Mus musculus: one gene and its partner. Each later gene encodes a partner of the first gene's protein in a complex. Links are inferred from orthologs where the notes say so. Each region holds a gene or a part of one and is shown on either strand. Other genes may lie near its edges.

Region 1 (4,315 bases):
AGAAAGAATTATCTCTTCTGTTTAGTTTCTTTTTTTCTTTTCCAGGATGGGGTTTTGGCTTAATTCTGCCACCCACCCTCACCCTCAGTAGAAGTTATTCCATGGGCAGACTTTATCTATCTATCTATCTATCTATCTATCTATCTATCTATCTATCTATCTATCTATCTATCTACCTACCTACCTCCCTATCCATCTATCATCTATCTATCTATCTATCTATCTATCTATCTATCTATCTATCTATCTATCATCTATCTATCTATCTATCATTCTGTTCATCTGTGTAGAGGCTAGTCTGTTATTCCATTTCAGGACTCTTTTGAGTGATAAAACAAGCAAGGAAACACTTTTCCCTTCTCCTTCATTTTGCCTTGACTCCTGTGGTTGATTACAGAATTTGTACACCTTTCTGAAGATGAGGACACAAGATGAGGTCATAAGACATAGATTTCTTTCATTGTATAACCAGATATAAAGAAGAATGCTTCTCCTCCTCCTCCTCTTCCTCCTCCTCCTCTCTTCCTCCTTTTCCTTCTTCTCCTCCTTCCTCTTCTCCTTCTTGTCACTGAATAGTCCCTGTATATTTAGGAACCATGGGGTTGATTTGGATGTAGTCTTGACTGACTCATAAGTGAGATAACTGGTCTGCTACTAATTATTATCCTGTGGTGTTAGAGGAAGTATGTTACGATGGCAAAGACCATCATCACTGTCATTGGAGTGCCTGTTCTAGTGTCTCCTCTAAAGCACCCCGAGAAAGAGGTTCATGTTAGATGAAAACATTCTACTCCAGACCCGTTTCACACATAGCCTGAGCATGGGGTGGGGACACAAGACTTCTGAAAGTCCTCTGCACTTGTTTTTTATTGCTCTGGCTTCTTCTCAGTTCACATTTGAGACACTGTGTGCTTTATGGAAGATTCTAACTTTAAAAAGATGAGAAAGACTTGGAAGCCCTATAATGAGACCCACCCCTCCCTCATACACATTCTTCATTACCTGTACATAAAAGCATATTTGGGATGAACAACCTATGCAATTCAGTTCTTAGCTTTTAAATGTGGCATGCTTCCATGCCAAGGCCCACACTGAAATGCTCAAATGGGAGACAAAGAGATTAAGCTCTTATGTAAAATTTGCTGTTTTACATAACTTTAATGAATGGACAAAGTCTTGTGCATGGGGGTGGGGGTGGGGTTAGAGGGGAACAGCTCCAGATGGCAAACATACGCAAGGGATTTAGTCAAACAACTTTTTGGCAAAGATGGTATGATTTTGTAATGGGGTAGGAACCAATGAAATGCGAGGTAAGTATGGTTAATGATCTACAGTTATTGGTTAAAGAAGTATATTAGAGCGAGTCTTTCTGCACACAGATCACCTTTCCTATCAACCCCACTAGCCTCTGGCAAAATGAAGTGGGTAACCTTTCTCCTCCTCCTCTTCGTCTCCGGCTCTGCTTTTTCCAGGGGTGTGTTTCGCCGAGAAGCACGTAAGAGTTTTATGTTTTTTCATCTCTGCTTGTATTTTTCTAGTAATGGAAGCCTGGTATTTTAAAATAGTTAAATTTTCCTTTAGTGCTGATTTCTAGATTATTATTACTGTTGTTGTTGTTATTATTGTCATTATTTGCATCTGAGAACCCTTAGGTGGTTATATTATTGATATATTTTTGGTATCTTTGATGACAATAATGGGGGATTTTGAAAGCTTAGCTTTAAATTTCTTTTAATTAAAAAAAAATGCTAGGCAGAATGACTCAAATTACGTTGGATACAGTTGAATTTATTACGGTCTCATAGGGCCTGCCTGCTCGACCATGCTATACTAAAAATTAAAAGTGTGTGTTACTAATTTTATAAATGGAGTTTCCATTTATATTTACCTTTATTTCTTATTTACCATTGTCTTAGTAGATATTTACAAACATGACAGAAACACTAAATCTTGAGTTTGAATGCACAGATATAAACACTTAACGGGTTTTAAAAATAATAATGTTGGTGAAAAAATATAACTTTGAGTGTAGCAGAGAGGAACCATTGCCACCTTCAGATTTTCCTGTAACGATCGGGAACTGGCATCTTCAGGGAGTAGCTTAGGTCAGTGAAGAGAAGAACAAAAAGCAGCATATTACAGTTAGTTGTCTTCATCAATCTTTAAATATGTTGTGTGGTTTTTCTCTCCCTGTTTCCACAGACAAGAGTGAGATCGCCCATCGGTATAATGATTTGGGAGAACAACATTTCAAAGGCCTGTAAGTTATAATGCTGAAAGCCCACTTAATATTTCTGGTAGTATTAGTTAAAGTTTTAAAACACCTTTTTCCACCTTGAGTGTGAGAATTGTAGAGCAGTGCTGTCCAGTAGAAATGTGTGCATTGACAGAAAGACTGTGGATCTGTGCTGAGCAATGTGGCAGCCAGAGATCACAAGGCTATCAAGCACTTTGCACATGGCAAGTGTAACTGAGAAGCACACATTCAAATAATAGTTAATTTTAATTGAATGTATCTAGCCATGTGTGGCTAGTAGCTCCTTTCCTGGAGAGAGAATCTGGAGCCCACATCTAACTTGTTAAGTCTGGAATCTTATTTTTTATTTCTGGAAAGGTCTATGAACTATAGTTTTGGGGGCAGCTCACTTACTAACTTTTAATGCAATAAGATCTCATGGTATCTTGAGAACATTATTTTGTCTCTTTGTAGTACTGAAACCTTATACATGTGAAGTAAGGGGTCTATACTTAAGTCACATCTCCAACCTTAGTAATGTTTTAATGTAGTAAAAAAATGAGTAATTAATTTATTTTTAGAAGGTCAATAGTATCATGTATTCCAAATAACAGAGGTATATGGTTAGAAAAGAAACAATTCAAAGGACTTATATAATATCTAGCCTTGACAATGAATAAATTTAGAGAGTAGTTTGCCTGTTTGCCTCATGTTCATAAATCTATTGACACATATGTGCATCTGCACTTCAGCATGGTAGAAGTCCATATTCCTTTGCTTGGAAAGGCAGGTGTTCCCATTACGCCTCAGAGAATAGCTGACGGGAAGAGGCTTTCTAGATAGTTGTATGAAAGATATACAAAATCTCGCAGGTATACACAGGCATGATTTGCTGGTTGGGAGAGCCACTTGCCTCATACTGAGGTTTTTGTGTCTGCTTTTCAGAGTCCTGATTGCCTTTTCCCAGTATCTCCAGAAATGCTCATACGATGAGCATGCCAAATTAGTGCAGGAAGTAACAGACTTTGCAAAGACGTGTGTTGCCGATGAGTCTGCCGCCAACTGTGACAAATCCCTTGTGAGTACCTTCTGATTTTGTGGATCTACTTTCCTGCTTTCTGGAACTCTGTTTCAAAGCCAATCATGACTCCATCACTTAAGGCCCCGGGAACACTGTGGCAGAGGGCAGCAGAGAGATTGATAAAGCCAGGGTGATGGGAATTTTCTGTGGGACTCCATTTCATAGTAATTGCAGAAGCTACAATACACTCAAAAAGTCTCACCACATGACTGCCCAAATGGGAGCTTGACAGTGACAGTGACAGTAGATATGCCAAAGTGGATGAGGGAAAGACCACAAGAGCTAAACCCTGTAAAAAGAACTGTAGGCAACTAAGGAATGCAGAGAGAAGAAGTTGCCTTGGAAGAGCATACCAACTGCCTCTCCAATACCAATGGTCATCCCTAAAACATACGTATGAATAACATGCAGACTAAGCAGGCTACATTTAGGAATATACATGTATTTACATAAATGTATATGCATGTAACAACAATGAATGAAAACTGAGGTCATGGATCTGAAAGAGAGCAAGGGGGCTTACATGAGAGGGTTTGGAGGGAGGGGTTGGAGGGAGGGAGGTATTATTCTTTAGTTTTACAGGGAACGTAGTAAAAACATAGGCTTCTCCCAAAGGAGCAGAGCCCATGAGGAGCTGTGCAAGGTTCCCCAGCTTGATTTTACCTGCTCCTCAAATTCCCTTGATTTGTTTTTATTATAATGACTTTACTCCTAGCTTTTAGTGTCAGATAGAAAACATGGAAGGTGACATTCCTCAAGGCCATTAGCTCTTTGCTTCTCTGTGTTATCCATCATACACAATATTGTGGCACTTGACTATCATGAAAATTACACAGAAATTGACAAGTCCAAGGAAAGTAAGTGGTAGGGGGTTTCTACATGATCTTCGTTTGCCTCGCAGTTTAAAAACGTAACTTACTTCATTAACAATTTTTTTATACTTAAATTTATTTTAAGTGGTATGTAGAACCAAAAAAATAATATATAGCTCAAGGTGT
Region 2 (4,360 bases), on another chromosome or scaffold:
CAGCTTTTTACAGGGGAGGCTAGCATCAGAAGATCAGGACTCAGGTCCTCATTCTTGGCAGGCAAACACTTACTGACTGAGCCCTCTCCCCAGTCCGTAGGAGGCCTGCAAGCCCAGCACTTAAGAGCTGGAGGCTGGGCTTCAGGAGTTCATGGTCGACCTGGGCTGCATGAGTTCCTGTCCTGACACATCTACCCTACCCCTCTGCTGCCTCCACGCTACCACCACCACCACCATTATTACACACGCACACACTTGTACACACACTTGATATAGACCAGAGGGAGAGGGAGGTCAAGGCAGGTAGGAGTGGTTGACTTTCTATTCTCTCTTAAAAAGGTTTTTTTTTTAATTTATTTATTGGTTATATGTAAGTACACTGTAGCTGTCTTCAGACACTCCAGAAGAGGGAATCAGATCTCGTTACGGATGGTTGTGAGCCACCATGTGGTTGCTGGGATTTGAACTCCAGACCTTCAGAAGAGCAGTCGGGTGCTCTTACCCACTGAGCCATCTCACCAGCCCTTAAAAAGGTTTTTTAGATTTATTTATTTTATTCATGCCTGTGTGTATACACGTGCCCCACATCCCTGCCTGGTGTTCAATGAGAAATTGTCAGACCCCCTAGAACTGGAGTTATGGGCAGCTGTGAGCCACCATGTGGGTGCCGGGAACCAAACTCGGATCCTCTGCAAGAGCAGCAGGTGCTCTTAACTGCTGAGCTGTCTCGTCAGCTCCAGACTTTCCAGACTCTTGCTTCTGTCTTTCAAGTGTGTGGGTTCCAGGCCTGCCCCATCACACCGGTTTTGCCCATCTACTTCAGCCTGTTGGTCCATCTGCTGACCACCAGTCGACCACTCACGGCTCTGTCAGTCTCCCTCTCTCGGCTGTTTATATTCCCTGCCGCCCAGGCCGGCCATGAACCCCTGGCCTCCCGGCCTCCATCCTTAGTGCTGGAATTACAGGCATGTGCTGCCGCCCACCCCCTTTCTTCTTTGCTGTCTATCTACCCTGTCAACCTACCTGTCTGTCAGTGTCTCTCTGTGTGTCTGTGTGTTTTTTCTGGCAAGATCTTGGGGTGGGCAGCAGGGTGGGAGACAGGGGCCAAAGGCAAAGGCTCTCATCACAGAGTGTGTAGGCAGGGTTGGGGCCACCTCAAGTGCTGGCACATGGAAGAAATCAGAGCAGGCTTACAGCTGGGAGTGGGCTGCTGCCAAACCTTGTGTGTTAGGCAACCATGCCATGACCAAGCCACACCCACAGCCCACAAATCCTGGGGTGTCTTAAAGTCACATTCAGCGTGCAGGCCTTTCCAGGGCTGCGAGTCTACTCCAAAAATGCTCCAAACGAGTAAACATAGAAGCTGTTTTGGGAGGCAGGCCTAATGACGTTTGCCCCGGGAGGCTTCCAACCAGATACAGCAGGAACTTCAAGAGAGGCTGGACAGAGGCCCAAGGGGTGTGCTTAGGAGCTAGTGGGTGGAGTTGGATGCCCTCAGAGTTCTCCAGTCCTAACTGTGTACAGACAGGATGTAAGAGAAGAACTGGAGGCTCTAAGCAGAGGATCCATCGGCTGCAGGCAGAGGGAAGAGGGCCTCTGTGAGGAACAGGCTGAGCGTCAGAGGAGGAGGCCCAGGCCTGGTTCTCTAGGTATGAGGGACCAGCACCCCAAGAGGAAAGAGGGTTGGGGCCTGGAGCTCCAGGTCTGAGGGAGGAGTGTTATGACCTGAGGGGGAGAGAGGAGGCTGGGGTCTGAGGAAGGAGAGCAGGACCCCGGGCACCTGAGTCTGAGGGATGAAGCCGGAGCCTAGGGTTTTGGGTTTGAGGAAAGATCTTGGAACTGGACTCCTGGATCTGAGGGAGGTGGAACTGGACTCCTGGCTTGGGTTTGAGGGCTCCTGAGGCTGAAATCTGAGCCCCTGGGAATGAGGGAGGAGGAGAAGGCCTGGATCCTCTGGTCTGAGGGAGGAGAAAAAGGAAATAACAGAAGTCTGAGACAAATTTTGGTCTGTCTAGCTCTGTAATTAATTAACTAAAGTGGATCAAATGAGAAGGTGAAAGTTCACAGAGGAACACTCCTGTCTGTCGTCTTGGACTGGGTCTCCATCCCACCATCCAGCGTCCTGGTCTACGAAGAGTCCACAGGGACCTTGTGAAGAATCAACAAGGCGGGGTCCAGAGGAGTCACGTGTCCCTTCCACTCCGGGTCACCCTGTCGGAATGGGGATGCCACTGCCCTGGGCCCTCAGCCTCTTGTTGGTCCTCCTGCCTCAGACCTGGGGCTCAGGTAAGAGGCCACCAGGACCTGGAGTGTGTCAGGAAGGGGACAGGAAGAAGAGCCAAAGAGTGGAAGAGGGACAATAAGTCCACTTTTTCCATGATGTCCTAGCCTTCATGGAAATCTCACTGTGGGTAACTTCTCTGTGCATCTGAGTCAAATACACTTGACAATCTCAGGCTCGTCTCTGTGTCCGTCTGTCCGTCTTGCTTCCTTTCTGGGTGTCTGTCCCCTTCTCTCTGGAGGATCATGGCACTTCAGATCGGGTCCAGTTTTCATTCTGCACCTCTGTGGGGCACGGTGCAGTCCGTGACCCGAGACTCTCCTGTTTGCTCTGCAGAGACCCGCCCCCCACTGATGTATCATCTCACGGCTGTGTCAAACCCATCTACGGGGCTTCCCTCTTTCTGGGCTACAGGCTGGTTGGGTCCTCAGCAGTATCTGACCTACAACAGCCTGCGGCAGGAAGCTGACCCCTGTGGGGCCTGGATGTGGGAAAATCAGGTGTCTTGGTATTGGGAGAAGGAGACCACAGACCTCAAAAGCAAAGAACAGCTCTTCTTGGAGGCCCTCAAGACCCTGGAGAAGATATTAAATGGTCAGAAGAGGGGTGAGCTTCAGTAGGCTGGGTTTGAGGAAGGATAATGGGTCTGGATTCCTGGGTCAAGGAAGGAGGCTGGAGCCCTAGGCCTGAAGTGGGAGGATTAGGTCTGAACCCTAGGAATAAGGGGGAAGGTTGGGATCTGGACCTCAAGGTCCGAGGGAGGAGAAGAGAGGAAGGCTGGCCCTTGCTCCTGAGTCTGCTTGCCTGCGTGTTGGCATCTAGGGACCTACACACTGCAGGGCCTGCTGGGCTGTGAACTGGCCTCGGATAATTCCTCAGTGCCCACGGCTGTGTTTGCCCTCAATGGTGAGGAGTTTATGAAATTCAACCCAAGAATCGGCAATTGGACTGGGGAGTGGCCTGAGACGGAAATCGTTGCTAATCTGTGGATGAAGCAGCCTGATGCGGCCAGGAAGGAGAGCGAGTTCCTGCTAAACTCTTGTCCGGAGCGACTGCTAGGCCACCTGGAGAGGGGCCGACGGAACCTGGAGTGGAAGGGTGAGCCCATCTCCTGTCCCTCCTCTAGATCTCCACAGCCATGCTCAAAGCCCACCCAGCATCAGTACAACCCCTCTCGCCTATCCCAGTGGATCTTCTTTAAGATAAGGTCTCATGTAGCCCAGGCTAGCTCTCACGTAGCTCAAGCTAGCCATGAGCTCATCGTGTAGCTGAGGATGGTCTTGGATTCCTGATCCTCTTAGCCCATTCCAAGTGCTGATTTGACTTAAGTGTGTTGCCACACCCAGCTAATTGTTCTTGTTTGTGAGACAGGGTCTCAGGCTGACTTTGAACTCAGAGAGATCTCTTGAGTGCTGGGACAAAAGGAGTGTGCTGCTGTACCAGGCTGCTTTTTCTTTTTCTTTTTCTTTTTTTGTTGTTGTTATAGTTAGACAGACTCTCCCAATGTAGACCACGTGACCTCAAACTTGTCATCCTCTTGGTCTCAGCCTCCCAAGTGCTAGGATTTTCCATGTCTTTTTCTTCTTGTTAACGTCTAAGAGTTCTTTATATATTGTGGACCCAAATCTTCACCAAATAAGTGTTTCAAACACACTTTCCTTGACTGTTTTCCTTTCATTCTTTTAAAGTTATCTTCAAATCTTTTTGTTTTGTTTTTTCGAGACAGGGTTTCTCTGTGTAGCCCTGGCTGTCCTGGAACTCACTTTGTAGACCAGGCTGGCTTCGAACTCAGAAATCCGCCTGCCTCTGCCTCCTGAGTGCTGGGATTAAAGGTGTGTGCCACCACGCCCGGCTTTTTTTTTTTTTTTTTTTAAGATTATTTAGTTTTGTATATAAGTGTTCGGATTGCATGTATGCCTGCTGCACACCAGAAGAGGGCATCAGATCCCATTTCAGGTGCTTGTAAGATGCCATGTGGTTGCTGGGACTTGAACTTAGGACCTCTAAAAGAGCAGCCAGTGCTCTTGACTGCTAAGCCATCTCTCCAGTCCCCAGTCCTCTTTTGAGGGCTGTGTTTTT

The links.
Region 2: the proteins of Alb (region 1) and Fcgrt are in contact, whole or in part, in a crystal structure (PDB 6QIO), measured with the Homo sapiens proteins. The link is inferred for Mus musculus from reciprocal best matches to the Homo sapiens genes ALB and FCGRT. Residues at the interface, in NP_000468.1 of Homo sapiens: Arg105, Glu106, Thr107, Tyr108, Gly109, Glu110, Asp113, Asn133, Asn135, Gln441, Ser443, Pro445, Thr446, Glu449, Leu484, Leu487, His488, Thr491, Pro492, Val493, Tyr521, Val522, Pro523, Lys524, Thr530, Phe531, Thr532, Phe533, His534, Asp536; in NP_001129491.1 of Homo sapiens: Arg65, Glu67, Glu69, Gly72, Ala73, Val75, Trp76, Gln79, Val80, Ser81, Trp82, Trp84, Glu85, Lys86, Thr89, Arg92, Asn172, Lys173, Leu175, Thr176, Leu179, Phe180, His184, Glu188, Arg192, Gly195, Asn196, Trp199, Lys200, Glu201.

What each region holds. Positions count from the first base shown.
Region 1 is NC_000071.6:90,459,519-90,463,833, forward strand, and holds the start of Alb (albumin preproprotein), read left to right. Parts: upstream 1-1,351; 5' UTR 1,352-1,416; coding exon 1,417-1,495; intron 1,496-2,202; coding exon 2,203-2,260; intron 2,261-3,181; coding exon 3,182-3,314; intron 3,315-4,315. UniProt on the Homo sapiens protein: Binds water, Ca(2+), Na(+), K(+), fatty acids, hormones, bilirubin and drugs. Its main function is the regulation of the colloidal osmotic pressure of blood. Major zinc transporter in plasma, typically binds about 80% of all plasma zinc.
Region 2 is NC_000073.6:45,100,929-45,105,288, reverse strand, and holds the start of Fcgrt (IgG receptor FcRn large subunit p51 isoform 1 precursor), read left to right. Parts: upstream 1-1,466; 5' UTR 1,467-1,649; intron 1,650-2,015; 5' UTR 2,016-2,219; coding exon 2,220-2,286; intron 2,287-2,617; coding exon 2,618-2,875; coding exon of another isoform or gene 2,876-2,887; intron 2,888-3,103; coding exon 3,104-3,379; intron 3,380-4,360. UniProt on the Homo sapiens protein: Cell surface receptor that transfers passive humoral immunity from the mother to the newborn. Binds to the Fc region of monomeric immunoglobulin gamma and mediates its selective uptake from milk.